4 linked regions of the Saccharomyces cerevisiae S288C genome follow. The gene in region 1 interacts genetically with each later gene. Each region holds a gene or a part of one and is shown in the gene's direction. Other genes may lie near its edges.

Region 1 (7,828 bases):
TTTTTCAAATCAATCCAAATGTTATTAGTGTTGACAATTCGACACGTGCTTGCACTTTCATTGGATAAGCAGTTGTAATAAACCGATCGTAGTTTACCTTTATATGTTGCCAACACTCCAGTGTTTGAAACATTTGCAGTCCTTTCAACTACTTCAACAAGATACTCGATTTTTTCATTTATGATGAAATTTAAAATGTTCAAATCTCCTGTAGCGCCCAAATTGTCAACATTTGAAACAAATAAAATCTCTTTTCCTTGAGCAATTAATTTGTCCAATTCTCCTGAAAAATACAAAGTGTCAGTTAGGTTACCAGTCCCGCAAGGATACCAAAAATCATTTTCATGAGAATTTATTTGTAAATCGATAGGTAATAATCTATCTTTATCAATTTGTGGAAAGCTTGACTGAACTACGGTTTTCCATCTCACTTTGCTAGAAGAATAATGCTCTTCAAGGAAGTTTGATACTTGAGATTCAGTTTCAAGCGAGGTCATAAATATAAGAGGAACGTCTGAATTATATCGTACATTCAAATTTTGCGTTTGTCGAACTATTACATCCAATGAAGACATCCCATTTTTTACTTCGAATAAAGGGCTTTCTTTACCAATGATTGGATTAGCCTTTCCGGTTAATTTTAAAATAGCTAACTTTGATAATAGTTTACCCTCTAACAAACCGTAATTTTTAATATCATCGAGTTCAACCACTTCATCAATTATCGGTAATCTAATTTTGTCACAAACTAGATCATGGGTGATTGAAGTATTTTCTAAGACATATCTTTGAAAAATGTGCAAAAATAGGCTAAACTCATAATTCTTGTCACGTATCGAAGGAAAATGTTTCTGCAAGGCCCTTATCATTTGTGACATAACAACATCCTTTCCAATACCTTCGAAAGTACCTTCAAACTCTATTTTATTTACTCCAGAGAAAACCGTCATTGATCTTGTATATACTATGTAGAACAGTGAAATATTTTTCCTTTTTTTTTTTATTATCAAGAATCACTTGTGTCAGTTATCGTTAAATTCCAGGTTACAAAAAGATTGTAAATGCCAGGGAAAATACAATTCAAAAAAGTTACAGTATAGTTATATTTAATTACTTAAATTTACTTTTTTTACTATAAGGTGCTATTCCTGCATTCTTTTTTTAATTAATCAGGACTTATAAGCTGATAGTACTTTCATTCTTTTTTTTTTGTGTGATAAGGCCATTGAACATTATGGAAGACTAACTACTTTTTCTTCAAGAAAATTGTGTGCTTCTACTCTCGTTCAATACAGGAAATTTTAATTCCAACAGAGTGGAAATTTATGGTTTTCTTACCACAATAAATTTCTCAATTGTTAAAATCTGAAAAGTTGGCAGCCCTGGCCCTGTCAAAGAAAGTATTATTATGCGTCGCGAAATTTCTTTTTCTTCACGCCTTGTTTTTAGTTTGGGCATCTCGAAAGCATCTAATACAAAATCCAACTAAAGCACAGCATTCAATCTAGTAGAGAGAACAAGAGATATTCATCATGACCGGCATGGAATCAGGAGAGAATTTGGAAAACATGGAAGATATTTTGGCGAGACATCGCAAGGAAAATAAAGATTTACAGAATAAGATAACGGGTATGAAAAAGCAGGCTACTAAATCCAAAAGGAAAGAAGTTAATTCGAAATGCCTAGATCTTCAAGATAAACTAAAGACTAAGCAAGAAAATGAAATAAGGGATTGGAAAATTGCAAATAATGAAGTGTTTGACGCAGAACAAGAAGATGAAGTGACTCCTGAAAAACTTTTAGAACAACTATCCATATCTCGAGATGAGAAAGAACAACAGAATGTTCCCGTTCAACAACAGCAACAAGGCCAGACAAAGAAGCGTCGCAATAGACAAAAGGAAAGATTGGCCAAAAGAGATGCAGCAATTGCTAAAATGAAAGAAGAGGCTGCTTTAGAAGCATCCAAACAACCGGACTTGAAAAAAATGGAGCAGGAGTCTATAGATCAGTTATGCGAGTTGAAGAAACTGAAACAATTCGATATACAACCCGATGGCCACTGTCTCTTTGCATCTATATTAGATCAGTTAAAATTACGCCATGATCCAAAAAAACTGGATCAAGACATGGATGTCATGAAGCTGAGATGGTTGAGTTGTAATTACGTACAGGAGCACAGGGATGATTTCATTCCATATTTGTTTGATGAAGAAACTATGAAGATGAAAGACATTGATGAGTATACGAAAGAGATGGAGCATACAGCTCAATGGGGTGGTGAAATTGAGATTTTGGCTCTCTCTCACGTTTTCGACTGCCCCATTAGCATTCTGATGAGTGGAAGACCTATTCAAGTGTACAATGAATGTGGGAAAAATCCTGAATTGAAGCTAGTTTACTATAAACACAGCTATGCATTAGGTGAGCATTATAATTCATTGCATGATTCTTGATTTTTCCCATCCGTATCTAATGAGATATGCTTATTTGTAAACCTTAATGCATCTATTTAATTGTATAGTTTGAAGCATATGGATATAAAAGAATAAAGAGAAGTAATAATCGGATATGAACATTGGTGGAGGAAAATTTTTACTTGGGAGGATATCGAATAATCCAACTTCAGGGATAGTAGGGCTTGCTAATGTTGGTAAATCGACTTTTTTCCAAGCAATAACAAACTCAAAATTGGGAAATCCTGCAAATTATCCATTCGCTACCATTGACGCAGAATGTGCCAAAGTCAATATACCTAGCGTGCCGCTCTCTAATTTATTGAGAATATATCAGAGTGCGAAATGCGTACCTGGAACACTCACAATATATGATATTGCTGGGCTCACCAGAGGCGCATCTCAAGGCCATGGTTTGGGTAACAAGTTCTTAAACGATATCAGACACGTAGAGGGGATATTTCAAGTGGTGAGAGGATTCTTAAAGGAAGACATCACCCATATAGAAGGTAATGTTGATCCTGTCAGAGATCTATCCGTGGTACAAGATGAACTCATCTTGAAAGACTTAGAATTTCTGGAAAACATTAGGGAAAGACTTAGTAAGAAGATGAGAATGGTTTCGAAGAATTCTAAAGAACATCAGGAAATGAAGATAGAGACAGAATTATTAGATGCATTAGAGGAACATTTGTTTAACGGTAAAAAAATCCGGCATTTCAAAGATCATTGGAACCTGGATGAAGTCAAAATTTTGAATAAGCATAACTTTTTAACCTCCAAACCAACTTTGATATTGCTAAATGTTTCACCTCAAGATTACGTTAGGAATGAAAATAAATTTGTCAGAAATATTATAGAATGGATTAACGAATTTTCGCCAGGAGATAAATTCCTACTTTTCAGTGCAGAATTTGAATCGCAATTGATGGAATGTAAAGGCATAGCGTCAGAGTATTTTGACAAGATCAAGGAAGATACCAATGTTTCTGATCAACAGTTAGTTTCTGCGATACCGCAAATAATACTAGAAATGAGAAAGTTGTTGAACTTAATTAGCTTCTTTACATGCGGCCCACAAGAAGTTCACCAATGGAATATAAGGGAGGGAACCACCGCTCAAGAGGCCGCGGGTGTAATCCATAGCGACTTGCGTGAAACATTTATCAGCGCTGATGTAATAAAATATGACGATCTGAAGAAGATGGAACCACCGCTAAATGAGTCTTTACTAAAATCTAAGGGACTTATCAAACGTGCAGGCAAACAATATATTATGCAGGACAATGACATTGCCTTATTCAAAGCCGCCGGTGGGAAAATTAAGAAATAGTTTGTCATAAAAAATACTTGTAAATATGAATAGAAACGCTTGCTTTGTTTTGTCTTTTCCAATAATTACACAAGAATCAACAAAAGTATGAGATATATATATATATATATATATATATATTATATTTGCATAAGGTTTAACCACTGATAGTAAGACAGAGGTATATCGAGGAACTGTGTTTACCTAGAGTGGGCTGATTCTAATAGTGCAGCTATATGCGAAAATGAGAAAAAAGGAACCGCTGAATTCAATAATATATTTTGGTTAATGGACGAGAAAAAGAGGAATCTAATGGAAATTATTTCCAGTTAGAACCAGCTTAGTTGGAAGCAACAACAACTTCGACATCCACACCAGGTTCAATGGTGATTTGAGTGATTCTCTTAACGATTTGAACAGGAGCTTCCAAGTCGATGTATCTCTTGTGGATTCTCATTTCGTAGGTTTCCCAAGTCTTAGAACCTTCACCATTTGGAGTCTTTCTGGTGGAGATCTTCAAAACCTTGGTTGGTAGTCTGACTGGACCCTTCTTGACCAAGTTGTGTTGTTCAGCGTTCTTGACAATGTTGGAAGAGACGTTTTCCAATTGCTTAACCTTGGTGGAGGTCAAAGTGATTCTAATCTTGATGATTTGTTGTTGTTGTTGTTCTTGTTCTTCAACCTTTTCCTTTTGAAAGTCAGACATTTTGTATATACCTTTTTGTTTATTTTACTTGCTTTCTTGTAGGAGTTTCAATCTAAAGCTGAGCTTGAATGAAATAACCCATCTTTACTATTATTTTGAATTCAATACGGTCTATTACTCAATCTCTGAGGCTAGTCGCGAATGCGTCGAAGTTTTTTTTTCAAAATTAAAACATTATCGTTACCCGAACTTTATCTTCATAAAAATAGTTGTGGCATTTTTTCTCTTATGTTTACGGATGTAGAAAATGTACAGGTGTGAACTTGCAGGTAAACATTTTTACATTTTTACTTTTATCTTTTCCCCTTCTATAGAGATAAAAATAAGAAGTTTCAGGGAAATCTCTCTTTCCATAGTAAATAGTGTTAGCAGCAGACAAGACAAGAAGGATATCAATGACGATACGCATTTTTCCGAATGATCTGGTCAGATAATTCTTTTTTTCCCTTTATCGGGAGGTTTTGATGAGAAAACGATGTCAATAGTATTCTAGTCACAATAGGGAGCTAGACGGCTATTCAATCAGAATGCGACTATCCGGAGTTATCCTCAATGATAGACGTTTCTCCAGTTAGGAGCGCCAAGAATGTGTGAACAAAATGCACAAGGTGCAGATTTGGCGCTCTTTATCAGCGCTTCATACGGTAGATATGAACTTTAATTTTGAGATTAGCCAAGACCAAAGGTTCTCTTAAAGATGCAAAAGCAGTCATACAGGTATTTGTTTTATGCAGCAAGGCTGACTCAAACTAGGCATTCCAATTCTGTTTATCTATTGGTGCCGCACCTTTTTTCCGATGATGAAATGAGGCGGCGCACATTTGGGTGTTATCTTATCGGGATATTTTATGATAGCAAATGCGACAGACAATAATGCTCGAGAGTGGACAGGCCAATAGTCAGTTGCAGCATAGAAACAAGCAGGCGTACCTATGGGAAAGGTGTAACTCATCATTGCGCTTTCTACGGTACGGTTATCCTTAGATAACAGGCAAGATGTGCTCTATTCATCGGTGTTGCATGAAGATACGTCTTGTTCGCCAAGTATATAAAATGAAGCAGTAGTATAGCCGTAGCTTTACTATTGTTAGCAGTTTCCCTTGTCTAGATTCTTAAATTGGGTTCATCCAAGAAAAAGTAATAACATAAATTTGTCATTGTTATAGTATGGGAGAATTTAAACCTCCGCTACCTCAAGGCGCTGGGTACGCTATTGTATTGGGCCTAGGGGCCGTATTTGCAGGAATGATGGTTTTGACCACTTATTTACTGAAACGTTATCAAAAGGAAATCATCACAGCAGAAGAATTCACCACCGCCGGTAGATCTGTAAAAACCGGCTTAGTGGCTGCAGCCGTGGTTTCTAGTTGGATCTGGTGTTCTACATTGTTAACGTCGTCAACAAAGGAATATGCAGACGGTATATTTGGCGGTTATGCGTACGCTGCTGGCGCATGCTTCCAAATTATTGCATTCGCAATTTTGGCAATTAAAACCAAGCAAATGGCTCCCAATGCGCACACATATTTAGAATTAGTGAGAACAAGATATGGTAAGATCGGCCATGGTTGCTACTTGTTTTATGCCATCGCGACGAATATTTTAGTCACTTCAATGCTTTTAACTTCAGGTTCTGCTGTCTTTAGTGATTTAACCGGGATGAACACTATCGCATCATGTTTTTTACTGCCTGTGGGTGTTGTTGTTTATACTCTATTTGGTGGGATTAAAGCAACTTTCTTAACGGACTATATGCACACATGTGTCATTATCATCATTGTCCTCGTATTTGCCTTTAAAGTTTATGCGACTAGTGATGTTTTAGGCTCACCGGGAAAAGTTTATGACTTAGTTCGTGAAGCCGCCAAGAGGCATCCAGTAGACGGTAACTATCAGGGTGAATATATGACCATGACATCCAAATCCGCTGGTATTTTATTAATTATTAACCTGATTGGAAATTTCGGCACCGTTTTCCTTGATAATGGTTATTGGAATAAAGCGATTTCTGCTAGTCCCGCAGCGAGTTTGAAAGCATATGCCATCGGTGGGTTAGCATGGTTTGCAGTACCTTCTTTGATTTCATTGACCATGGGATTAGCATGTCTTGCGGTGGAAACGTCTCCGAACTTCCCCACCTATCCTGATCCACTTACTTCGTTCCAGGCAAATTCTGGGTTAGTCTTGCCGGCAGCTGCAATTGCTATCATGGGTAAGGGGGGTGCTGTGGCATCGCTGCTAATGATTTTCATGGCCGTCACATCTGCTATGTCTGCTGAACTAATTGCCGTTTCATCTGTTTTCACTTACGATATCTATAGAGAATATATTGATCCTCGTGCAAGCGGTAAGAAATTGATTTACACATCACACGTTGCTTGTATCTTTTTTGGTCTTGCCATGAGTGGATTTTCGGTTGGTTTATACTATGGTGGTATTTCTATGGGTTATATCTATGAAATGATGGGTATAATTATTAGTAGTGCAGTATTACCTGTCGTTTTGACCTTATGTTCCAAAGACATGAATTTGGTGGCCGCTGTAGTGTCGCCTATTTTGGGCACAGGACTGGCTATAATGTCATGGCTTGTCTGTACCAAATCCCTTTATAAAGAATTGACCGTGGATACTACGTTCATGGATTATCCAATGTTAACAGGTAACTTGGTGGCTTTGCTATCACCAGCCATTTTTATTCCTATTTTAACGTATGTGTTTAAGCCACAAAATTTTGACTGGGAGAAAATGAAAGATATTACTAGAGTTGACGAAACTGCAGAGTTAGTTCAGGCTGACCCTGATATCCAGCTTTACGATGCTGAAGCTAACGATAAGGAACAAGAAGAAGAAACAAATTCTCTGGTCTCAGATAGTGAAAAAAACGATGTTAGAGTAAATAATGAAAAATTGATTGAGCCTAACCTTGGTGTTGTAATAAGTAATGCCATTTTTCAAGAAGATGACACACAGTTACAAAATGAATTAGACGAAGAACAAAGAGAACTAGCACGTGGTTTAAAAATTGCATACTTCCTATGTGTTTTTTTCGCTTTGGCATTTTTGGTAGTTTGGCCCATGCCCATGTATGGTTCCAAATATATCTTCAGTAAAAAATTCTTTACCGGTTGGGTTGTTGTGATGATCATCTGGCTTTTTTTCAGTGCGTTTGCCGTTTGTATTTATCCACTCTGGGAAGGTAGGCATGGTATATATACCACTTTGCGAGGCCTTTACTGGGATCTATCTGGTCAAACTTATAAATTAAGGGAATGGCAAAATTCGAACCCACAAGATCTGCATGTAGTAACAAGCCAAATTAGTGCGAGAGCACATAGACAATCATCACATTTCGGA
Region 2 (8,073 bases), on another chromosome or scaffold:
CTGCACTTGTTTGGAGAGTTCAAGGACTTGAATTTGGCATCACAATGCTTCTGGACCAAAGAGGTCAGTTTCTCAGAATCCATGTCGGGGACGGTTCTAATGGAAAACTTACCGAAGACCTTAGCTGGAATGACAGTCTTTGCACCTTGAGCGGAAAAGGCGCCTTCCACACCATGAATGGACAACGAAGGATACCTCCATCTGTGCATCAAGATGTCTTCCTTCTTGTCGTACAAACTTGTCTTAGAGCCAGTTGCAGCGTTCAATTCTTCGACGCTAAATTCGATATCCTTGTATAGAGCCTTCTCCTTTTCGGTTAGAGGAGCAACCATTTCGTCAATACCGTCAATCAGGATCTTACCCTTAGAATCCACAAGGGAACCGAGAACTTGCATTAAATCGATCATTGGTTCAGCAACAACACCACCAAAGATACCAGAGTGTAAATCTGCACTTGGACCCTCAATGATGGTTTGATAGTAGTTGCAACCTCTTAGACCATAAGTCAAAACAGGCTTCTTAGTGCCTAGCCAGTAATTATCGGAAATACAAACGGCATCTACACCTTTAAAGTAACCATTAGCTTCCTTTTTAATCAATTCATCCAATTTCAAAGAACCACTTTCCTCCATTCCTTCGAAACAAGTAACTAAGTTAACGGGGAATTCTTGTCCGGAGGCTTTGAAGGCGTCCACAACGTTAATCCAAGATAATAAGGGACCAGTGTCATCGGTGACACCCCTTCCTTTCATGATACCTTTAGCCTCATCAATGACAAGCTTGAATGGCTCAGTATCCCAACCATCTTCCAATTGAGCAGGTTGCACATCATAGTGACCGTAAACCAACACAGTCTTTTTTGAAGGGTCGCTGCCGAACCTAGACAGAATCACAGGAGGTAGAGACAGATTTGGCGTAGAAATTGGTGGAGGTTGAATGCCCAGATCCACCATTTTAATGTCATGGAACCCCGATTGTGATAATTGCTCGGAGATAAACTTGGCCTTATCGAAGACTTTGGACCTTAGTGATTCATCCGAAGAAACAGCGGGGATTTGAATAGCCTTAGTCAGTCTGCTGAAGAACTGAGGCTTTAAAGAATCAATCTTTTGGAAAACGGAAGTAAGTGAGTGAGACATGCTTGTGTACGATGCTCTGGAGCAACTGAACTAACAATGAAGGGAGATTCAATTGATAAGAACAACATGTTGCTATTATAGTCTCTCTTTTTTTTTTGACACATTTTCTTGTAGCCGTTTTGAATGACGAATATAAGGGATATTGCTAAAATATGCTGTGGCATTGGTCAACTTAAAAGAATACGAATACTTATTCTAAAAGATGTGCTCGAGTATTTAACCCACCGATTGGCGCACAAAATGTGTTGTGGAGTTATCAATCACTCGAGGGATTTAATCGACTTCTTGTTTAGTTCGCCTTCGCTAGTCATAATAAAATCGACTTATTAATCCAAAAATTTCAAACTTTCTTGTCAACATAACTTCTGGAAAGGGTGTCAGAGGTTTTTCCTTCTTGCGTCTGCTGATTTTATTAGGTTGTTTAATTTAAAGGGCTTTGAACAGAAGTGGGAACTTCTTCCGCCTTATTAAGCTATTTTTCAATCGAATATAATTGAAAAAGTAATTGCTCTCACAGGTAGTCGAATCGTAAAAAAAGGGCAGTAAGAACAGCACCCGACATGGCTAACCAGGTAAGTAGTAAACTGTTTCGTTCCAAGACGCTAATGCTATTTTATTAACGCTCTCTTTTTTCTCGTTTGCAGAACTCTGACCTTTACAAGCAAATCACTGCCGGCAGTGTAGCTGCTGTGTTTCAAACGACAATGACATACCCATTTGAGTACTTAAAGACTGGTTTACAATTGCAACCGAAGGGTACCGCTTTCGAAATCATTTTACCTCAGATTAAGTCGTACTTTGTTGGCTGCTCTGCCCTAAACGTGGCCGCATTTGGTAAGACTATTTTAAGGTTCGTTACGTTCGACAAGTTATGCCACTCCCTGAATAATAACATTGATAATAATGATAATTTTCAAAGACTGACTGGTTATAACCTTTTGATCGCTGGTACGTTGACAGGAATAGTAGAAAGTTTGTTTATTATCCCTTTTGAAAACATAAAAACCACCCTTATCCAATCGGCGATGATCGATCATAAAAAATTAGAGAAGAATCAACCTGTAGTTAACGCAAAGGCAACCTTTCACAAGGTGGCGACTAAATCTACTCCTGTGGCTCGTATCGAGAAACTACTTCCAGCGGTAAAACACATGTATCAAACAAGAGGCCCTGCTGCGTTCGTCCAGGGAACAACAGCCACCATATTTAGGCAGATAGCTAACACCTCTATTCAATTTACTGCATACACAGCATTTAAACGGTTGTTACAAGCAAGAAACGACAAGGCATCCTCAGTAATAACGGGGTTAGCCACATCTTTTACACTCGTGGCAATGACTCAGCCCATTGACGTCGTAAAAACAAGGATGATGAGTCAAAATGCCAAAACTGAATATAAAAATACCTTAAATTGCATGTATAGAATATTTGTTCAAGAAGGCATGGCCACATTCTGGAAGGGCTCCATCTTTAGGTTTATGAAAGTCGGTATTTCAGGAGGCTTAACGTTCACTGTTTATGAACAGGTTAGTTTGTTACTAGGCTTCTCTTCCAGGTCTTGATAATTTTGTGGATCTTTTACTCTTTTCTGTACATAAATTGCCACTATTTAATTATTTTCTCTACGGTATCTTTTTTAGAACAAATAACTTTCAATTCTTGATTGAAGTTCTAAGGGAAGCAATTCGTGCGCGAGCTCAAACATATCATCAACGTTATTGATAATACCCATATCGATAAACGAATCTACCAATTCCTGTTTTTGTAACGTGCCGATTTTTTGTTTCAAGAAATCCATTATATTTAAAGATTCCTCCTGTATAGTAGACCACGTTTGTTTCGGCAATATTATCCTATTCTCATTCAAAAATTGCCTTGTAAGATGTTTTAGATCCATTATTTGCAGCGGTTTTATAGAAGAACGTCTCACCGCAGGGACATTTAAACGGATAGGATCGTTGCCTATATCATCCAAATTTTCGTCACTGGTGTTTTCAAACGAATAATCTTCGTTTTCTGCTTCTTCTGTCTCCTCTTTATCGTCGCTTGGTAAATCTTCAGATAGTGGTTCTTCCTGTTGCGTTATGGAAATTGGTACCGGATCACGTACTGGCGGTTCATCTACCTGATCCATTCCAATGCTTGGCGACGTGCGCAAAACTTCCATAGAGATACTGTTAGCTTTATCTGGAGAGTGCACTGTCAATTCATCCTCGTGTCCTGTCGTGGGAACATCTTGTATTATTATCGGGTCAATCTTCCTACTTTTCAAGCCTTTGTCTCTTTCCTGCAATTTTGCAAATACTGTTTGCGATAAGGAAGTATAATCAGGTTGCGTTTCATTGCCAATGTTGTTATCTGTCAGTTTCTCACTTCTGCTCCGAAGAAGCTCATTCTCCTCTGGTTGGCTCTCTTCGTACGCTAATTCATCTATTAGATTCCGTGCTTGAGTTTTATTAGTAGTTGTATCGTTGCCTTGTGATTTGCGTGCTAACACTTGGCTTAAGTCTTGTAAAAAACTTCGTACTTCGTTCGGATCTTTATTGAGGATGTCATGAGACTTAGTAGAAGCAGATAAAAGTTTTCTATAACCTGGCGTATTTCTGATCAGTACCTCATCCTTGAGACGTTGTTCTTCAAGGGCTCTCTCCCGAAAGGGGGTTCTGATCTCTGAGACTTCTGTATTCTCGTTGTTACCGGCGGCCTTCCTGGGAGTGCTCATTATTCATTTCTTATTTCGTTACTAATCGTCGTGTGTGTCATTAATCGGTAACGCGTAGCTTCTTAATCTTATTTAGAATATGTAAATAAAAAAAAGTAAAAATCGAAGCCTAAGCATTTTCAATGAGCCAGTTTCAATGAGAAATCAATCACTGGTGTGCCTTGATGAATGCTACTAGTGCTGTAAATGTCAATGTCATCGCACAAATACTCCTCGAGGTTGTCCAAATTCAAGCCTCCACTACATTCCAAGAGGAAATGCTTTTTACCATTCCATTTGTTCTTAAGACTTTGGGCGCACATTTTCAAACCGTCACCTTTGAAATTATCCAACATGATAACGTCTGCACCAGCTTCAATGGCCTCTGTGGCTTCATCTTCACTCAAACACTCCACTTCGATCTTCACAGCAAACCCGCACACGGCCCTGGCGTTCTTAACTGCGTTTGTTATAGAACCAGTAGCCCAAATATGATTATCTTTGAGCATGACCATAGAGGAAAGGTCGTATCTGTGCGTGTCGCAGCCACCTACAAGCATGGAATACTTTTCTAATCTACGTAAACCTGGTGTAGTCTTTCTTGTCCCCGCAATGGTCCCCTTGTAACCAGTCGAACGCGCCAAACTGATTATCTTATGTGAGGCGGTGGCAATTCCACTACTTCTACTAAGGATGTTCAAGGCGGTTCTTTCAGCTAATAGAATGTTTTTAGCGGGCCCAGTAATTTTAGCTACAACAATCTTACCAGAGTCATTCTTCGAAGGCTCCAAGAAGGAGCCTTCCTTAAACAACCACTCAACTTGCAATTCGCACTGATTAAAGACTTCTTGCGCAAAGGGGACACCACACAGCATACCATCCTGCTTACAGTACAAATTGGCCTCCTTTAGGTCGGAACCAACAACATATCCACCAAAATCAAAAGAAGGAACGTCCTCGCTCAGCCAATTGGTGACGTCTTGTCTCCATGCTCCATTAACGGGCAATAAGTGTTCATAAACAGGCATTTTTTTTTTTTGGTGTGTGTTCTTTCTGAGGATTGCGTTCTTTTTGTTGCGTTATTAAGTGGTGTCTTTAATTTTCGAATTTATGGCCCAAGATATACGAAAACTGCGGTAGGAGTCATGATAAATGGGGGCTCTTCAACCAACCGGCGTCACCAAAAGCAAAAATATCCTGGAGCGAAATATCACATTGTTTGTAACCAAGCTTGTACCTTTGACAAGTTAACTTACGTCTTGCCGGGGTTTGCTACTACGCATTCAAGTATATAAAACGTTGTGACACACAAGTTGATAGAAACCTCAGGATGTATAACTACAATTCTAGTTTCCATCTCATTAGTCCCAAATGACAATAAAAAAAATTACTGGCCATGGAAGATGACAAGCCGAATATTAGCTCCTTCGATCGAACTGTGCGTGGAGAAGAAGCTACTACTATTTAATAATTAGTATCCCGTGATTTTGAGCTGTCGCTGGCATTATGTACCTGACATTAGGTATTTAGGAAAGGTAGGGTAGATCAGTTTAGTACCTCAATGGGTGCGGAAGGTTAATCTTGAAAAATTTGCGATTAGTAGACAAGTTTATTCTCACAAGAACAAAATATTCAGTTCATTTCAGATATGATCGTGAAGGTGGAAATCTTTTTTTTAAAAATGAGAAGTGTGCCCAACAAAGAAGTAAAAGACAAGTTAGCTTTCTGTCATGCTTGAAAACTTTATGGAAGCCTGTGCATTGGCATTAGAGGCATCTCCGACAATCAGAAGAACACTTCTTGTTATTATAATTACCCATATATTTTTTTTTTTTTCAAATTGACTACTAGGAAAAAGTGACAATTTATAGTAAAACTGGCTAGAAAAACCTACAAGAAAAACAAAACCAGGTTAGGCATACATTAATACAAGATTATATCAATCGGAAGTTCGTATGCAAAATTGCATATGGAGCAAAGGAAAGGACTTCCATTTAAGACGACAGTATGAGTTATAAGGCTAACCAACCATCTCCTGGGGAGATGCCGAAAAGGTCACCTTCCATCCTGGTGACAGATGCAAGAACATCCAAGAATAGAATGAGTGCACCGTTCGCTGGACACGCTGCTGGTAGTAGGAAGAATATGGAAAACGCAGGAGTTACGAAGTCTCAAGGAGTTCGCTCTTCCGCTATTGGCCCTTCTCCGCTGCAGAGTTTTACTCATCCAAGAAGGCGATCGTCTGGCAGGTTTAGCGATATATCCATAGATAATATTCTTTCTGATAATTCAGATATTCCCTCTGCCAGAAGAGAGGAAAGGCTATCCAGCTCTTCAAGCGATAGGCCTCGCCAATATGAGCGGTTAAGTTCGCGTAGAAAGATGATCAATCCCCTGCCTCCAAGAACATCGAAGACGTCACAAAAGTTAGTGTTGATACCGGAAGACGACAACTTGAACCACTTTCAAACTCTACCAACGAACGCGCTGGATAGGCAAAGACCGAAAGTGGGCTCTATGAAGTCTAATTCCTTCGATCGGCTACCTCGATACTCAAAAGAAAAGTCCATGGCAAGAATCACCGCATATAATGTTGCTGATGGCTTCAATCTCAACCAATTGTATAAGTTTCTGCAGGAAACTCATGAGGTTTCACCAAGATTGTATGATGAGTGTCTATACGTTGCGTATACTTTGCCACTTCTACCAGGTAAAGGCGGTTTTAGAATCAAATCAAATTTATCTAAGAAAACAATGGGTGGAAAGACATTAATTGATAATTTAATTGATACAAGCGAACAGAGAGATCATCATTATGAATATTACTCAGGTGTGGAAACTGTGGAAGATGCAAATAATAATTACGAACTAGAAACCAGTGGAAATAACAATAACGCTAATCAAGACACCACAACAGTTCCCGATCATCTACCAAATCCAGTTGGTCAGCAAGACTCTTTTAATCCTATGGAACCACAATTTTTTGCGGAAGAAACTCCCTTAGAGATAGAGAAACGGGAAAGGACAGAAAGAATAAACATGCTGAAGAAGGAGGAAAACGACAGTGATGCAAGTTGTGGCAACGATAATAATAATAAAAATAATGATAAGAGTAAACTTTATGCTGTTGAGGGAAACGATCAGTATGTACAGTCCTCTCGTTCACCAGCTTCGCCATCATCAATATCTACGCCATCGCCACCATCTTCATCACAGAATGATTTTGATCGTGTATATAAAATGCATAGGGACAACGACCATGAAGGCAATGATAGACATGCAGAAATTTTCATTTTTCACTATGGCGTTATTGTTTTTTGGAACTTTACTGAAATTCAAGAGAAAAATATTCTTGGTGATATAACATTTGCAGATTATAAGAATTTAATGATCCGGCCGCTGGATGAACAAGATATTGAAACTGAACAATTCCATTTCGAATATGACAGAGATACCGAGAGACCGAGAATTTTCAATGATATTGTCACATTACGTTCAGGTGACCACATTATCGAGCTGACACTATCACATGCGATTGCGCAATCTTCGAAATTATCAAGGTTTGAATCCAGAATTTCGCCGATTTTAATATCAGTCACAAAACTACCTAAAAGACTAGCATTATATGGTACCCTTGGGTTAAAAAGGGAACAGCTTTTGAAAAAATCAGGGAAGCTCTTTAAATTGAGAGTGGATGTTAACCTTTCATCCACCATATTGGATACACCCGAGTTTTTTTGGTCGTTCGAACCAAGTTTGCATCCACTGTACGTGGCAATGAGGGAGTATTTAGAAATTGACCAAAGAGTACAAGTATTAAATGATCGTTGCAAAGTTTTCTTGGAATTCTTTGATATATGCGTTGACTCTGTTGCTGAAAGAAACATGGCTCGTGTTACATGGTGGTTTATTCTTGTCATTTTATTTGGAGTTATATTTTCATTAACAGAGATTTTCGTTCGTTATGTAATTATTCATCGTCATACTTCTACATAGATATTCATACACCCTTCTAGACGGCATTAAAAATAAATTAATGATATATTTAGTTATCAAGGTTTTTAGTCATATATTTCACCGTTATTACCATTCTTGGTCACGTGCAAGTAAAACCACTCGTTGATTGGCTCCCCTCAAGATTGCATTAAAAGTACAATAATATGACTAAGGGACTCGAATATGTAAATTCATCTTTCGCATCAACAAAGGAGAAAAAGACGATAGTGAAGACTA
Region 3 (8,748 bases), on another chromosome or scaffold:
GAGAAAAATCCTGCCATAGTACAAACCGCACGAAGTTCTGATCTAAATAAGGAAAACAGTCGCAACACAAATATATCTTCGAAGATTGCTTCGCTGGTAAGACAGAAAAGAGAACACGAAAAGAAAGAATGATCAAAAAATAGAAAAATAAAAAAAAAAGCATTTGACAATGTTTGTAAATAATATAATATGAAAGTAACTACTGAACAAAAACATTAAGGATAACATTTCTACGTAGGAAAATAATGTATACCTAAATAACGACACCAATAATAACAAAAATCACGAAAAAAAAAAGCTTACATGTCCACTAATCTTCGCCGATCGGTATTTCGTCTTTTAAAATTCTATTTAACTTAACCTTGATCTCCGTCTGAGAGTCTCCTCTCAAGATATCCGACACAAACCAGACATCACAATCCAGCTGCACCATTTCAAGTGACCCTTTCAAAACACCACACAATATATTGGAATACCAGAGCGATTTCATAGCGTCCATGGGTAACTCCACAAAGTCAGCCAATGGGTTTTCATCCAAAATCAATGAAAAAGTATCCTTGTTATGCGACCAGTTCGTTATGTTGGGTGTGATGTTTAAAAATATTTTGAATGCACACTTACTTAGTACTTCGCTTGTCTTCACTAAATTCTCACAGCGTGGCAATGCCGTTCTAGCCAAGAAATCCTCAATAAGTCTACACCCAATATTATATCCCATGCTATACAAATGATCATTCACTTTGTTAAAGTCCCGTTCATAATCTTGGCACAATTGTGCCACTATGGACCCATATGTTAGCGTAAATAATTCTGTATTAATTTTTTCTGTTTTATTTTTCCAGATCTCTTCTCCCATGGCCTTCAAAGACCTCGATTGCGTGGTAGAAACCATTTTTGACCCAGTTTTGGTTATCAATGAACACTTGAAGCTTTACTCTGCATTCCCATCTCTATAGCTATGGGTAATCACAGCTACGATCACTTACTCTGTTATTATTATATTAAGTTCAATGTTGGCCAAACCGGGTAACATGTAACACTTTCAGGTTGGCCTTACCTTTGGCTTGGAGTTTCGCAAGTTTTCAAATTTTTGGCTCCTGCTGTCAAGGTGCATAGAATAGCGCTTATTTATCTATTTATATCCAAGATGTACAATCCTCGTTCTCTGAGTCCAACATATTTGCTCGCAACTGTAGAAATCACAACTACAGCAACAGTAAAGATATCATTTTCTATTTTCGTTATTGGTTTCTCGACCTTTTTATATACGATACGTCAAACTTGAATCATTTTATACGTTTTTCTCTTTCTAGAAATGCCATTATGCACGTGACATTACAAATTGTGGTGAAAAAAGGCTCTCATAATAAACTGTGAACGGACTCATAATGAAATTTGCTTCACTATGTGAATCATCGCTAATAAACTCGCTACAAAAGTCGAGTATGCTTAAGTCAAAAAAATGATATATATATATAATTTACTTATGTGTTTCTGCAAAGTTGTAGGCTTCATTTAGAATTGCTCAGATATTCCATCCCAATTAAAAAAAGCACGGATAGAGTGATAAATAAACTAAGAAAATTTCAAAAGAATGGTACGAGACTTAGTGACATTGCCTTCATCACTGCCCTTGATTACTGCTGGTTTTGCTACTGATCAGGTTCATTTGCTTATTGGTACAGGGTCCACGGACTCAGTAAGCGTTTGTAAGAATAGAATCCACTCCATTTTGAATGCTGGTGGTAATCCCATAGTAGTGAATCCCTCGTCACCAAGCCATACTAAACAATTACAATTGGAATTTGGTAAGTTTGCAAAGTTCGAAATAGTAGAAAGGGAGTTTAGGTTATCTGATTTAACTACTTTGGGGAGAGTTCTGGTATGCAAGGTAGTGGATAGAGTATTCGTAGATCTACCCATAACACAAAGTCGCCTATGCGAGGAGATCTTTTGGCAATGCCAAAAACTGAGAATTCCCATAAATACATTCCACAAACCAGAGTTTTCTACCTTCAATATGATTCCTACGTGGGTCGACCCAAAAGGAAGTGGTTTACAAATCTCAGTTACTACGAATGGGAATGGATACATCTTGGCAAACAGGATAAAAAGAGATATAATATCACACTTACCTCCAAACATATCTGAGGTGGTGATAAACATGGGGTATTTGAAAGACCGTATTATAAACGAAGACCATAAGGCCTTGTTAGAGGAAAAGTACTACCAGACTGACATGTCATTACCTGGATTTGGCTACGGCTTAGATGAGGACGGTTGGGAGAGCCATAAGTTTAATAAGCTAATTCGTGAATTTGAAATGACCAGTAGAGAACAGAGACTTAAGAGAACCAGATGGTTATCTCAGATAATGGAGTATTACCCGATGAACAAGCTGAGTGACATCAAGTTGGAAGATTTCGAGACTTCATCTTCTCCAAATAAAAAGACAAAGCAGGAAACTGTCACAGAGGGTGTAGTACCTCCTACCGATGAAAATATTGAAAACGGTACAAAACAACTACAATTATCGGAAGTGAAAAAAGAGGAGGGACCTAAAAAACTAGGGAAGATTTCTTTAGTCGGAAGTGGTCCAGGCTCGGTATCTATGCTAACGATAGGTGCATTACAAGAAATAAAGTCTGCAGATATAATACTGGCAGATAAACTGGTACCGCAAGCCATTTTAGATTTAATACCTCCAAAAACTGAAACCTTCATAGCCAAAAAATTTCCCGGTAATGCAGAACGAGCACAACAGGAATTACTAGCTAAAGGTTTAGAATCGTTGGATAATGGATTGAAAGTAGTCCGTTTGAAGCAAGGTGATCCGTATATTTTTGGCCGTGGTGGCGAGGAATTTAATTTCTTCAAAGATCACGGATATATTCCTGTGGTTTTACCGGGCATAAGCTCATCCCTAGCTTGTACTGTATTGGCTCAGATACCCGCTACTCAACGTGATATAGCAGACCAAGTGCTCATATGTACTGGGACTGGGAGAAAGGGCGCTCTGCCTATAATTCCTGAATTTGTTGAAAGCAGAACCACCGTCTTTCTAATGGCACTGCATCGCGCCAACGTTCTGATCACGGGATTATTGAAGCATGGCTGGGATGGTGATGTCCCCGCTGCAATTGTCGAGAGAGGATCGTGCCCTGACCAGCGTGTTACTAGAACTCTTCTTAAATGGGTACCAGAAGTCGTGGAGGAGATTGGTTCAAGGCCCCCCGGTGTCTTGGTTGTAGGCAAGGCTGTGAATGCATTGGTTGAAAAAGATCTGATAAATTTTGACGAATCAAGAAAATTTGTCATTGATGAAGGTTTTAGAGAATTTGAGGTTGATGTAGATAGTCTATTTAAGTTATACTAATATGTATATAAAGACAAGATATCATTCAAACGCTGACGTTAAAGTTTTAAGGTTAATCGTGTATGCATTATGTTCTAGATTCATCAACACTGGATATTGAGCAAAAAGGACGTATCCGAGGCCCGAAAAGGTCCTTCAACCAAGTCGTCAAAATATTGGCAAGCCAAAAGAGCAGCGAGAATGATTGGCAAACGGTTTTTCCAAACAACAAGTAAAAAGATTGCTTTTGCATTCGATATTGATGGTGTGTTGTTCAGGGGCAAAAAGCCAATTGCTGGTGCCAGCGACGCATTGAAGCTGTTGAACCGAAATAAAATTCCATATATTTTACTCACTAATGGTGGAGGGTTCTCTGAAAGGGCACGGACAGAGTTTATCTCGAGTAAATTGGACGTTGATGTATCACCCTTGCAAATTATTCAAAGTCATACTCCTTACAAGTCCCTTGTTAACAAATATTCAAGGATCTTGGCCGTTGGTACACCTTCCGTGAGAGGCGTTGCAGAAGGCTACGGATTTCAAGATGTTGTTCACCAAACGGATATTGTAAGATACAATAGGGACATTGCACCATTTAGTGGGCTATCTGATGAACAAGTGATGGAGTACTCAAGGGATATTCCAGATTTAACCACTAAGAAATTCGATGCCGTCTTGGTATTTAACGATCCTCATGATTGGGCTGCCGATATACAAATCATCTCAGATGCAATCAACAGCGAAAATGGGATGTTAAATACCTTGAGAAACGAAAAGAGTGGCAAACCTTCCATCCCCATTTACTTTTCGAACCAGGATTTACTGTGGGCCAATCCTTATAAATTGAATAGATTTGGACAAGGTGCCTTCCGCTTACTAGTTAGAAGGCTTTATCTCGAGTTAAATGGTGAACCCTTGCAAGATTATACTTTGGGTAAGCCTACAAAGTTGACTTATGATTTCGCTCATCATGTTCTCATTGATTGGGAAAAAAGACTAAGCGGGAAAATAGGCCAATCTGTGAAGCAAAAACTGCCACTCTTAGGCACGAAACCTTCAACTTCTCCATTCCATGCGGTTTTTATGGTAGGTGATAATCCTGCAAGTGACATCATTGGAGCTCAAAATTACGGTTGGAACAGTTGTTTGGTGAAGACAGGTGTGTATAACGAAGGTGATGACTTAAAGGAATGTAAGCCTACCTTGATCGTGAATGATGTATTTGATGCGGTTACTAAAACGTTAGAAAAGTACGCATGAAAGACTACTATGGAATATCTTTTCCTGCCTTTGAGCTGTACTGTTATGATAGATTTATTAATAGCTTAAACGCTTTTACAAAATATATGCAATATACATAACGGGTTAAATAATGGGTTGGGAAATTGGTAATCACGGTATAATGAGTACCTGTTTTCTTCTATTTAAAAAAATAAAAACTACCAACTCTTTTTGGTAAAATTAGTAACCTACCAAAGTCAATCGATCAATGCATCTAAAAAAATTCACCTTCACCAAAGTAGACCAATTGACGTCATTTACTGAAACGAATGTGCAGGGTTTACAAGTCATCTGAAATGCTGTCCAAATTGATAGGTTGACCAGGCTTGAAAGCAGGAAGACCCAAGTAGGGACAACCACTACATCTAAAGGCATCCCCTAGAGAACAAGAACCACAGCCGCCAACTTTCTTCCCATCGATAGTGAAATCAATCTCGGTCAACTCGTCTTCTGTAAATTTGACAACTTTATCTTGTTGAGATCTTATATCGTTTATTTCATTTTCTTCCTGTTCTTTCATACCACAGGTGCAATCTTTACAAGCCTTCTTCTTCTTAGTTTTGGATTTACCGCATGTAATCATAGTAATCATTGACTTACCAGAACCATCCTCGTCGATTAATTCTTCTTCTTCAATGGAATCATCGCTGGTATCCACTTGATCAAAATATTGGGCTTTGGAAGAGTCACTAGAGAAATCATCATCATCGCTATCCTCAATCAGGTCGTCTACGACTCGGTAGACTTTTGGTTCAGTGGTCATTTTGAAACTAGGTGGTTTGAAGCTGTCTGTTTCCTTAACTATAGGTTGCCTACTGTGATCTGCTTTTTTGAATGAGGGTAAATTAGAGGTTGAAGAACTAGCTTTTTTAAAAGTTGGTAGCTTACTACCACTCTGTAGCTTAGTATTGTTCGTTTTCTTTTTTTTCAGTGGTATAGAAACAGTTTGGTTTAGTTTAGAGGAATCCATTTTAATCCAGCAATAATCTGGTTCGTTAATTATTTCAAACCCATTGATTAATGCATCTACTTTATAAATATCACTTAAACCAATTAGTGAGCCGTTTGGTTTCAATGAGTCAGCTAAGACAGAAATTAACTTTTTCGGAAACTTAATATCAGTCTGGGCTTCTGGCGTCAAATAGTGTACTGTTTCATATTTTGCGTTTTCCAAAGTTATGGACCCATCATTTAGTTTATTGATTAAAAACTGGTCCACGAACTTGACTTTCTTTGATGCAGCTTGAGCCTTAGTGTTCTCTACTAGCTCTGGCGTTGTAGTCACCGCCGGATGTATTAAAAGTAAACCAGTTTTGTATTGTGACATCGATACCTTCACTTACAGTGTATATGCTTAGATCAAATGTGATGAAAGACTTCTGCTTAGAATACCTTTTTAATATGTCATGAAATTAAATGATTACTAATCATTTCTTTTTTTTATTTTTTTTTTCCAGAAGCTTTTGAATAGTATCGGACTTATTCCGGTACCGGGATATGTCAAAAAAAGAAAAATGAGAAACGAATAGATATTTACCCAGAAAGTAATGAATGTATTTAATGAATTACTGAATTATTAAAATTAGTAATAAATAGCGGTTTATATGAAGAGCTCTATGTACGCTAGTATGGCATTACATACCTACTGCAAGTAAAAAAGGAAAAAAATTTGTGACATTTTGTAAATATGCTGCGTGAATTTGCCTAATGAGTATTTTTCCAGAAATTACAAAACACAAATAAGTAGAATGTGTTTAGTGTATTTGTAATTCATAGACTATTTATTGATGCTTATCTATTATACCTGGGGTTTCTGCTTCGTCCTCGTCCTCGTCATCATCGTCGTCGTCGTCGTCGTCGTCGTCGTCGTCGTCGTCGTCATCGTCGTCATCGTCATCATCATCGTTGTTGTTTTCGTTCTTATCTTCTGTATCTTCTTCTTCGTCGTCGTCTTCTTCCTCATCCTCATCATCGTCCTCTTCCTCGTTATTTTTTGGGTACCCACCCAATTTCATAACGATTTTGTTAACAATCTCATTCCAGTCCATCATACCCCCGAGACCAATATCACCATTTATATCCATAACTTTCTCAGACGGCTTGAAAACAGTGACCCAGGACATTTCCTCCTTTATCGTTTGTAGTTGCTTCTTTGTCATCATAGAATTAAAAGTGCTACTCACCATAGAAGGTGCCAAAAGAATGGGATAACTCGGATTCCAAGCTCTAATGACACTTGTCAGAAGATTGTCGCACAGGCCCAAAGCAATTTTTGATAATGTGTTTGCAGTTAATGGAGCTACTACCAGTATATCCGCCCAGCGACGTAGTTCTATATGAAGTACAGGATCAGTTCGTTGTTTCCATGCGTCCCATTCATCTTGGTCGGTCCATAGTTGAATATGTGGGGGTAACTCGACTACTTGAGCCATGTTGCATTGTCCTGGTGTTGGTGTCACTGGAGTTGCCGGAGTGGATTCGTACTGCGACATTTTATTTAGTTTTTCTGAAGATTTGATAATTTTCTTGGTATATCTTTGTTCGAAAAACTGTGTTGCTGATTGAGTGAGGATAACTTGAATGCTTATTCTATCACGTCCATATATTTCTTCTAGTTTTTTAATCATTGGCTTGATCTTAAATACCGATAACGAACCTGTAGCGCCAAACAACACGTGCAATTTTCCATCATCTTGAGGTAGTCTGGGATCCAAATTCTTGGAGTTCTCTCTTTTGGGGATGATGGAAGGAATGACGGACTGCTTCACTGGCGTTTCTTCCGGGGTAGAACGCACATTAATTTGGCCTGAAACATTGTTAGCTTGATCTTGTGCATCTTCCTTTCGAAGTGTAATACTGGTGGGGGCTTTGGCGGTTACCTTATTATTTTCTCTACTTATTGGCGTTGAAGTGGCCATGATTTTGTCAGGCTTCATGGTATCAACTATTTTAAGAGCACTGTCTTTTTTCTTAGGATCATAATCTTTCATTTCGTTGACGAGTGGAGACCCAGATAATTGCGTTGTTCTTGAAGTGTTGGTGTGGTTCGGTATAACTGCATGATTGCCAGGAATGGAATTTGAGACAGGAGCAGGATTACTATTTGGAGACTTGGTCCTTTCTGAGTCGTTCTTCAGCTGAGTCAGACTATCCTGCTTTTGCTGTTGCTTTAGATCACTGAAAGTGACGGCGGGGACTCTCTTCAAACCAGGCTCCGGAGTATTACTTACTACTGCGCCGGAGGTGCCGGTGGCATTCATAATAGATTTCGTAGTCGTGGTAGTAGCATTCGACAAAGTAGGGCTTATTGATTGCCTCCCTGACACGGGGGAGTTGATTATTGAATCCTTCCCCTTCGCATCCTCATGGTCCAACAAAATCTCTTTCTGTCCACGCGAAAACCTTGGACACTCTATAGACTGGTTATGGTCAGCATCTTGCTTCCCGCTAGTAGAGGCGACGGCAGTCATTGCTGTTTGCTTCTAGATCTTTCTTCCCTATTAATTTTTTCCTAACTAATATTTCTTTATATTTTATCCCGGAATATAAAGTAGTATGACAGCAAAGAAGGCCAGGCTAAAAAAAGATCTCTCCAAATGTAACTGGACGGCGCTGATAAGTGGACAAGTACAAGTGAGGGATCGTGATCCAAGAGCACTCTGTGACTTCTTCTCCTCTAATATCACCTCCCCAGAAAAGCATCGATGCCATTTTTTGCAAGAGAAAAAGTTGCGTGCGTCACTGCCCACGAGCACATGGGGTGAGTTATATAACATAAGAATATTGCTTTGACTCATGTTAAAAGCAAAAGAAAAAATAATAATGATCATTAGAGATACATCAAAGACGATCATGGCATTAACCCAGGGTACGTGTGTTAGATATGATAGGGTACCCCGCGCGTATAAGTTACGCCTTGAATGATATAACACGTTAAAGTTTCTAGATCACGTGAATCATTACCATTTTTTAGGTCATCCTACGGATAATGGCGAAACCACATAATTGCTTTGTAGATCTCTTTTTATGCTGGATGGATGGCCCTCTGGAATGCATCCTTCACGAACACAATTTATGAAACCTCAGGTTTGATGCTCCGGAAAGCCTATTTC
Region 4 (8,302 bases), on another chromosome or scaffold:
TGAAAAGTACTTTATCTCAATGGGTTTACGTGGGCATAGATCACGCTTCAGCCGCTCTGTGTCGACTTTCTTTTCGCCAGGTAAACTTGCTTGCATAGCTCATCTACGTGTAGGCTGCCAAATTGTACCCATATTTCCTTATGGTGCTTTTCTGAAGACTCCTTACAATAGGTGCGCCGGAAACAAAGTCAGTGAAAGTACGCATCGTAGAGCTGTCGTTCGGCCTAGCACTCGCTATTTCGTGACAACGTTCCAGGACACGGAAACTCAACTCATTATAGTATCCTCTGTTGAGGTAAAAAAGAGAAAGGGTATCGTAATCCTTTCTATTGAATTTCAAAGTATGCACTTGAAACAACGTGTAGACCATCAAGTTGATTTTCTTGGGAACAAGATACTTTGAAGGGATTGGTCCGCCCTGGAAATCTGGTTCGTCTTCAACAAACGTCAGGAACTTTTTTACATTTTTCCCGACCATGACGGAAATGACAACTTTTTCAAAAGACCTTTTCCTATCCATTGCACCAGTTCTGAATTTTACCACTTTGATTAGGCCAGACTTTTCGTCTTCGTAGAATGACCGCACTTCCGTGGGGATCGATTCAAATAAAGTTATTGAGGGACAATGTACCAAGTCGTTTTTGTTATTTAGAGCCGACTCAAACTCGTCAAAGTTTGCTTTTTCAAACTTACGCCTATCGGAAACTTTCATTTTATTTTTGTAAGTTTCGAAATTAACAATAGTATGTTGATTTTTATGCTTTTTGACAAGAAATCCATCAATATAAACAAAAGATTGTCCAGTTTTCGTCTTATCATCATCTAAGAATGTAATAATTAAGCTATTGAGAAGATGCAGAATCTGCGCTATGCAGGTGCAGCAAAAGCAAACAAAATCTCACTAAGATAAGCGACTGTCTGTCCCCTTCAAGCACAACATAGAAAACAGAAGGATGTCTCATTCATCGCTTGATTTCCGGCCTGCAAAAATAAAGTAGTCGGTACGTACTTTCGTTTTCAATTTCCATGGTGCACAGTATCTTAACTATCTGCTTAGTCGAGGAGAACCAGGATTCTGTTCGTTGCTCAGCCGCTTCGTGGATATTCTCTTGGATACTTTAAACATGGACCTACGTTCCGCTCTCGAAAAGACCAATATAATAAAAAGTTATAAATTACATTTCCTTATTAGGTATACGACCTCGCGCTTCGAAGTAGAGGAGCCCTTTTTGGCGTACCTACATATGGCGCGTCAGACAGACAAACTTCCCCCAAAAATGTATTACCCCGCCGAATAAGAAAACAGACCCATTCACCAACGACGTATCAAGTTACTTCCTTGGTTTGCAATGTCCCACTATAAAAAAATTCCTTGACGCTAGATCTTTGGGCTAAAATCTGCGTCAAACAGGAAATATTGCCTATTTTCGTACAAGGTTACTTCCTAGATGCTATATGTCCCTACGGCCTTGTCTAACACCATCCAGCATGCAATAAGGTGACATAGATATACACACCACACCCACACCCACACCCACACCCACACCCACACCACACCCACCACACCCACACACCACACACACACACACCACACCACACCCACACACCCACACACCACACCCACACACACACACACACCTAACCCTAACACTACCCTACTCTAACCCTGATCAACCTGTCTCTCAACTTACCCTCCATTACCCTACTCCCCACTCGTTACCCTGTCTCATTCAACTATACCACTCCCAACTACCATCCACCTCTCTACTTCCTACCACCAACCCACCGTCCACCATAACCGTTACCCTCCAATTACCCATATCCAACTCCGCCACCACTTACCCTGCCATTCCTCTACCATCTCCCATCTACTACTCACCATACTGTTGTTCTACCCACCATATTGAAACGTTAACAAATGATCGTAAACAATACACATATACTTACCCTATCACTCTATACCATCACCACCACTTGCCACACTCACCTTCACTTGTATACTGATATGTCATACGCACACGGATACTACAGTATATACCATCTCAACTTACCCTACTCTCATATTCCACTCCACTCCATGGCCCATCTCTCACTAAATCAGTGCCAAATGCACTCACATCATTATGCACGGCACTTGCCTCAGCGGTCTATACTCTGTGCCATTTACCCATAAATCCCATGATTATCCACATTTTAATATCTATATCTCATTCAGTGGCCTCGAATATTGTAAAAATGCTCTTAATACATACGTTATATTACTTTTGCACCATATACTAACCACTCAATTTAAATACACTTATGCCAATATTACAGAAAAATCACCACTAAAATCACCTAAACATAAAAATATTCTATTCTTCAACAATAATACAAAAACATATTGACTTGGAGTATGAACACTACCATGACGTCATTAACGTAAAAGTTCCTTAATATTGCAGTTTGCTTGAACGGATGCCATTTCAGAATATTTCGTACTTATGCAGACCATACATTAGAATAATATGCTACCTCACTGTCGTAACACTCTCCATTCACTGTGCTATAATATGGTACTGTGTTGACACTCATGCGGGTGCTATGATAAAATTGTATCCTATTTCCATTCCCATATGCTATCCGCAATATCCTAAAAGCATAACTGATGCATCTTTAATCTTGTATGTGACACTACTCATACGAAGAGACTATATCTGAACAAGACGATACTGTGATAGGTACGTTATTTAATAGGATCTATAACGAAATGTCAAATAATTTTACGGTAATATAACTTATCAGCGGCGTATACTGAAACGGACGTTACGATATTGTCTCACTTCATCTTACCACCCTCTATCTTATTGTTGATAGAACACTAACCCTTCAGCTTTATTTCTGGTTACGGTTACACAAAAACTATCGCAACCCAGAAATTTTGATATTTTCAGTGTCAAAAAATGAGGGTCTCTAAATGAGAGTTTGATACCATGACTCCGTAACTCGCACTGCCCTGATCTGCAATCTTGTTCTTAGAAGTGACGCATATTCTATACGGCCCGACGCGACGCGCCAAAAAATGAAAAAAGAAGCAGCGACTCATTTTTATGGAAAGACAAAGTGCTGAGAAGTCATGCGCTTCCAATTTCATTATTGTTTATTGGACATACTCTATTAGCTTTATTACCATCCACCCTTTTTCTAGAATAGTGTAAAAGTTTCTTTTTATGTTTATCGTATTCATAAAATGCTTCACGAACACTGTCATTGATCAAATAGGTTTATAATATTAATATACATTTATATAATCTACGGTATTTATATCATCAAAAAAAAGTAGTTTTTATTTTATTTTTCATTACTTTTTACTGTCTATGAATTTTCATTCGTAGAGGCACTCGTCCCTAGTTTGCGATAGTGTAGATACCATCTTTGGATAGAGCCTTGGAGATAGCTGGCTTTAATCTGCTGGAGTACCATGGAACACCGGTGATCATTCTGGTCACTTGGTCTGGGGCAATACCAGTCAACATGGTGGTGAAGTCACCGTAGTTGAAAACGGCTTCAGCAACTTCAACTGGGTAGGTTTCAGTTGGGTGGGCGGCTTGGAACATGTAGTATTGGGCCAAGTGAGCTCTGATATCAGAGACGTAGACACCCAATTCAACCAAGTTGACTCTTTCGTCAGATTGAGCTATAGTGGTGGTTGCGGAAGCAGTAGCAGCGATGGCAGCGACACCAGCGGCGATTGAAGTTAATTTGACCATTGTATTTGTTTTGTTTGTTAGTGCTGATATAAGCTTAACAGGAAAGAAAGGAATAAAGACATATTCTCAAAGGCATACAGTTGAAGCAGCTCTATTTATACCCATGCCTTCATCAGTCATCACTATTTAAACGATTCGTTAACAGACGCTCATTTAGCACCTCACATATCCTCCATATCTCATCTTTCACACAATCTCATTATCAGTATGGAAATGCTCTTGTTTCTGAACGAATCATACATCTTTCATAGACTTCGTATGTGGAGTATTGTTTTATGGCACTCATGTGTATTCGTATGCGCAGAATGTGGGAATGCCTATTATAGGGATGCCGGGGTACCTTGAAAAACCCTTTTGCGCGCCTGTGATTTCCGTTTTCGGTCAAAAAGAATATCTGAATTTTAGATTTGGACCCTCGTACAGAAGTCTATTGTCTAAGCCTAATTTCAGTGCTTTAAACGGCTTCCGCGGAAGAAGCATTTCTATCTCTTGAATTCGTACAACATTAAACGTGTGTTGGGAGTCGTATACTGTTAGGGTCTGCAATTTGTGAACTCTCGGCGAATGCCTTGGTGCAATTACGTAATTGTAGCCGCTGAAGGCGGATGGTATTGAGAGAAGTTGATGTTCAAAGTATCGTGTATGATAAAAATAAAATTGTAACCAGTTCGTAGTAGCAGTATTAAAACTTTGCACAGAGGGAAATATTTGATTCCGAGATGTAATCCCTCTTTTCTAGCCAGATATGAAGGAGAAAAGTGTAAGGGTAGTAGAGAGCGCTACTTTATTTTATTTTATTTTAAAAATGTTCTCTAGGAAAGGTGTATTAATAGTTGATAAAAAAAGTATTTTGTCTTCTATGTTCATAATTTCAATTCTTGAATTTTGGAAATCGTGAAATGCTTCGAGAAACCGCCTTCAATAATTAGAAAACAAAATAAAAGATTACAATTAGGCCACTCAAAAATACAATTCAGATAAGAAAGGAGCGATAGTGGGGAGTAAGAATTGGAAATACCCTTGATAATCAGGGAAAACTTAAGGAACGGGGTGTTAAAAGTCTGTGAAGTATAGATCAAACTCGCACTAGCTAGCAATACTCATGAGAACCCATGTGAGTCTAAAGCTGTGAAACTTCTTTAGAAAGCAGAGCATCCTCTAAGTTAACAGTTTTCCATACTTATTCAGTATGGATCAAGTTCCACAGTTTGTCAACTTCTGTAAAATAAACTTGTAGTGCTTCTTCGATGAAAAGGGATAGAATCTTTAAAAGACTTGATCTTGGCATTTTTATCCTCCTTCAAGCAGAATGGCTCCAGTAGAGTTGTTCTGAACGCTTCTGGGCAGTGAGCAGCATTGAAGAAAAAGTACTCAGCATTCCAAGCTTTGTTTTCATATAATTATAAATTAAAACTCATAGCCACCAATTTCCAGGTTTTGGTCGCAATATGCTGCAGAGTCAATGGCTTGTTTCATTACTATACTAGTCCGACGGAGTTTACTTTACTCTAAATTTTCTGAAATAGAAAGGCCACACGCCATACAATTAACAATAGTTCATTTAGTTGAAAGGTTTCCGAGATAGAAAGTGCGGTAGTGGAGAAGAACAATAAACGTATCAAACTTTGCGCAGTCATGGAATTTCCAGGAAACATTTTTAGGTTTTCATATGACAGCAGTTCCTGTCCGAGAGCTGTGCCTTTCTTGTCTCAGCTGACTAAGATGTCTCGGATCCGCCCGGCTGACGCGCGGCTCCGTCTAGTGGGATAGGCTTTCAACACATAGAAAACCCTTCAGATGATGAGAACACATCGAATCCCAGAGAGTAATATCACTAAGAATAAAGCAACCATGATAGACGATATTACTAAGTGTTCCTCAACAGATATTGAGAAAAGTTCTTATAAAGCGGGCAGGCTTTTTTCTATTTTTTTCTTTTTCTTTATCTAGCTTAAGATCTTTCTAACCATATTCTATAAAATGGCAAGCTGAATACAGATTATCAACGACAATTACAGATAACCTACAAACATGCAAGTTGCAATTCCAGAAACCATGAAGGCTGTCGTCATTGAAGACGGTAAAGCGGTTGTTAAAGAGGGCATTCCCATTCCTGAATTGGAAGAAGGATTCGTATTGATTAAGACACTCGCTGTTGCTGGTAACCCCACTGATTGGGCACACATTGACTACAAGATCGGGCCTCAAGGATCTATTCTGGGATGTGATGCTGCTGGCCAAATTGTCAAATTGGGCCCAGCTGTCAATCCTAAAGACTTTTCTATCGGTGATTATATTTATGGGTTCATTCACGGATCTTCCGTAAGGTTTCCTTCCAATGGTGCTTTTGCTGAATATTCTGCTATTTCAACTGTGGTTGCCTACAAATCACCCAATGAACTCAAATTTTTGGGTGAGGATGTTCTACCTGCCGGCCCTGTCAGGTCTTTGGAAGGTGTAGCCACTATCCCAGTGTCACTGACCACAGCCGGCTTGGTGTTGACCTATAACTTGGGCTTGGACCTGAAGTGGGAGCCATCAACCCCACAAAGAAAAGGCCCCATCTTATTATGGGGCGGTGCAACTGCAGTAGGTCAGTCGCTCATCCAATTAGCCAATAAATTGAATGGCTTCACCAAGATCATTGTTGTGGCTTCTCGGAAGCACGAAAAACTTTTGAAAGAATATGGTGCTGATGAATTATTTGATTATCATGATATTGACGTGGTAGAACAAATTAAACACAAGTACAACAATATCTCGTATTTAGTCGACTGTGTCGCGAATCAAGATACGCTTCAACAAGTGTACAAATGTGCGGCCGATAAACAGGATGCTACAATTGTTGAATTAAAAAATTTGACAGAAGAAAACGTCAAAAAAGAGAACAGGAGACAAAACGTTACTATTGACATAATAAGGCTATATTCAATAGGTGGCCATGAAGTACCATTTGGAAACATTACTTTACCAGCCGACTCAGAAGCTAGGAAAGCTGCAATAAAATTTATCAAATTCATCAATCCAAAGATTAATGATGGACAAATTCGCCATATTCCAGTAAGGGTCTATAAGAACGGGCTTTGTGATGTTCCTCATATCCTAAAAGACATCAAATATGGTAAGAACTCTGGTGAAAAACTCGTTGCCGTATTAAACTAGATGACGAACAGATATTATTTTCTTTCATATACATAGTTATTACGTTTAGTTATAGTGACTTAGTTTTTTTTTTTTTTTTAATGAAATTGTTTGTTATTGATCACCCCTTGTAGGGGCAACAGATGAGCACAGTGAAAATCATAACTCATTATGTGATTCGTTGTGAGTAACCCTTCCATGATTATATATCCTAACTATCTACTATCCAACTACTACATATCTATTGAACTCATATGTACCAAGCACATAAATTTATGCACCCATTTCCATTGGCAAAGACTTGGCGAAATTTAATACACTGTAATAATATCCGGCGAAGCTCTTTAAGTATTCTTACCTATAATGGCGGCTCGCTGTCCGAACGATTGCGCCGCACTTTTCTGCCTCTTACATTCCTTTTTCCTAAGGCGATAAGCAGGCTGAATGGAAACTACAATATATTGCAATAGAGCTTCCCCAAGGAACTCCCACTTTCCTTGGATTATTACAAAGAGAGTTTTACCTTTTAGGTCATTCTCACAGCAGATCCAAATATGTAGAACCTGTTTTAGAACAACAAATAGAAATGATGTGTTACAGAGTACCGTTTAAACTGAGTCATCACGTAATATTCTAATTATGTTTTTTTTTTTTAAATTAGCTAATGTAAACAGGCTGGAATGTATGGGAACTCATCACTTCGTAACTGATTCCATCTTCTATCTACCATAACTTTAAAAAAGATTATCGATAGTCTAAAAATACGCGATACACATTCTTTCTTCGTCCGTTAATGATAAAGCTCTTTTTATGTTAATGTACATGGGTTGTCAAACTACCCTTCCCAAAAAGACAGCACAAAATATATATTTATGCCGTGCTATTCTATGATAATATATTGGCTTTCACCTAATGGAAGCCCTAGCGAAGATAACCTTTTTCATACGACTTTTGGTGGGAAAGAAATTGGCATAGTCCCAAGTACAATGTTGTTATTATGTAGGAGCTTAATCCGCAGATCATACACTCTATCTCAATTCTTCGTATTATAACGCTCATGATTAATTAGGTCCTTCTGAGTTCTATCTTTTCTCTCCGAGACAATATTATGCAAATTTTAACCAAGCAGTTTCTCTTAAAAAATAGATAGCCTCTGGAATAACCAATATGGCTCTCATATTCGCTTTATCCACTCTTACGATGAACATCTGTATGGTTCTTTTTATTCTAGTTTATGTACGTTTATAGACGGGAAGTAGTTAAATTTGTGTTACCTTCAATTTGAAATTTGGGATACCGTTATCGTATTCAATTCTCAGCATCGCCCAGTTCAAGTCAACTAATATAGATGCTATAGCCAGAGCATAAACTAGGGAAATAGCATAGAAAAAATTACTATTCCCTGAACCTAA

Evidence for each region.
Region 2: mutations in OTU2 (region 1) and MRX20 together harm fitness more than expected from each alone (negative genetic interaction), as found in Saccharomyces cerevisiae (one large-scale study listed by BioGRID).
Region 3: mutations in OTU2 (region 1) and MET1 together harm fitness more than expected from each alone (negative genetic interaction), as found in Saccharomyces cerevisiae (one large-scale study listed by BioGRID).
Region 4: mutations in OTU2 (region 1) and YLR460C together harm fitness more than expected from each alone (negative genetic interaction), as found in Saccharomyces cerevisiae (one large-scale study listed by BioGRID).

What each region holds. Positions count from the first base shown.
Region 1 is NC_001140.6:72,058-79,885, reverse strand, and holds OTU2 (deubiquitinase OTU2), read left to right. Parts: upstream 1-1,532; coding exon 1,533-2,456; downstream 2,457-7,828. Other genes in the region: YHL012W (UTP--glucose-1-phosphate uridylyltransferase), read right to left, coding at 1-950; YLF2 (Ylf2p), read left to right, coding at 2,572-3,789; 40S ribosomal protein uS10 RPS20, read right to left, coding at 4,109-4,474; YHL015W-A (uncharacterized protein), read right to left, coding at 5,104-5,187; DUR3 (Dur3p), read left to right, coding at 5,642-7,828.
Region 2 is NC_001138.5:240,299-248,371, forward strand, and holds MRX20 (Mrx20p), read left to right. Parts: upstream 1-1,699; coding exon 1,700-1,711; intron 1,712-1,783; coding exon 1,784-2,701; downstream 2,702-8,073. Other genes in the region: DUG1 (metallodipeptidase), read right to left, coding at 1-1,139; centromere-binding protein CNN1, read right to left, coding at 2,776-3,861; BNA6 (nicotinate-nucleotide diphosphorylase (carboxylating)), read right to left, coding at 3,981-4,868; RMD8 (Rmd8p), read left to right, coding at 5,848-7,836.
Region 3 is NC_001143.9:570,018-578,765, forward strand, and holds MET1 (uroporphyrinogen-III C-methyltransferase), read left to right. Parts: upstream 1-1,594; coding exon 1,595-3,376; downstream 3,377-8,748. Other genes in the region: bifunctional glycerol-3-phosphate/glycerone-phosphate O-acyltransferase GPT2, read left to right, coding at 1-132; TRAPP complex core subunit BET3, read right to left, coding at 311-892; YKR070W (uncharacterized protein), read left to right, coding at 3,557-4,615; electron carrier DRE2, read right to left, coding at 4,917-5,963; phosphopantothenoylcysteine decarboxylase complex subunit SIS2, read right to left, coding at 6,418-8,106; YKR073C (uncharacterized protein), read right to left, coding at 8,170-8,490. UniProt on the Saccharomyces cerevisiae protein: Siroheme synthase involved in methionine biosynthesis.
Region 4 is NC_001144.5:1,058,366-1,066,667, reverse strand, and holds YLR460C (uncharacterized protein), read left to right. Parts: upstream 1-5,780; coding exon 5,781-6,911; downstream 6,912-8,302. Other genes in the region: YLR464W (uncharacterized protein), read right to left, coding at 1-96; YLR462W (uncharacterized protein), read right to left, coding at 104-712; seripauperin PAU4, read right to left, coding at 3,387-3,749; GPI-anchor transamidase subunit GAB1, read right to left, coding at 8,150-8,302.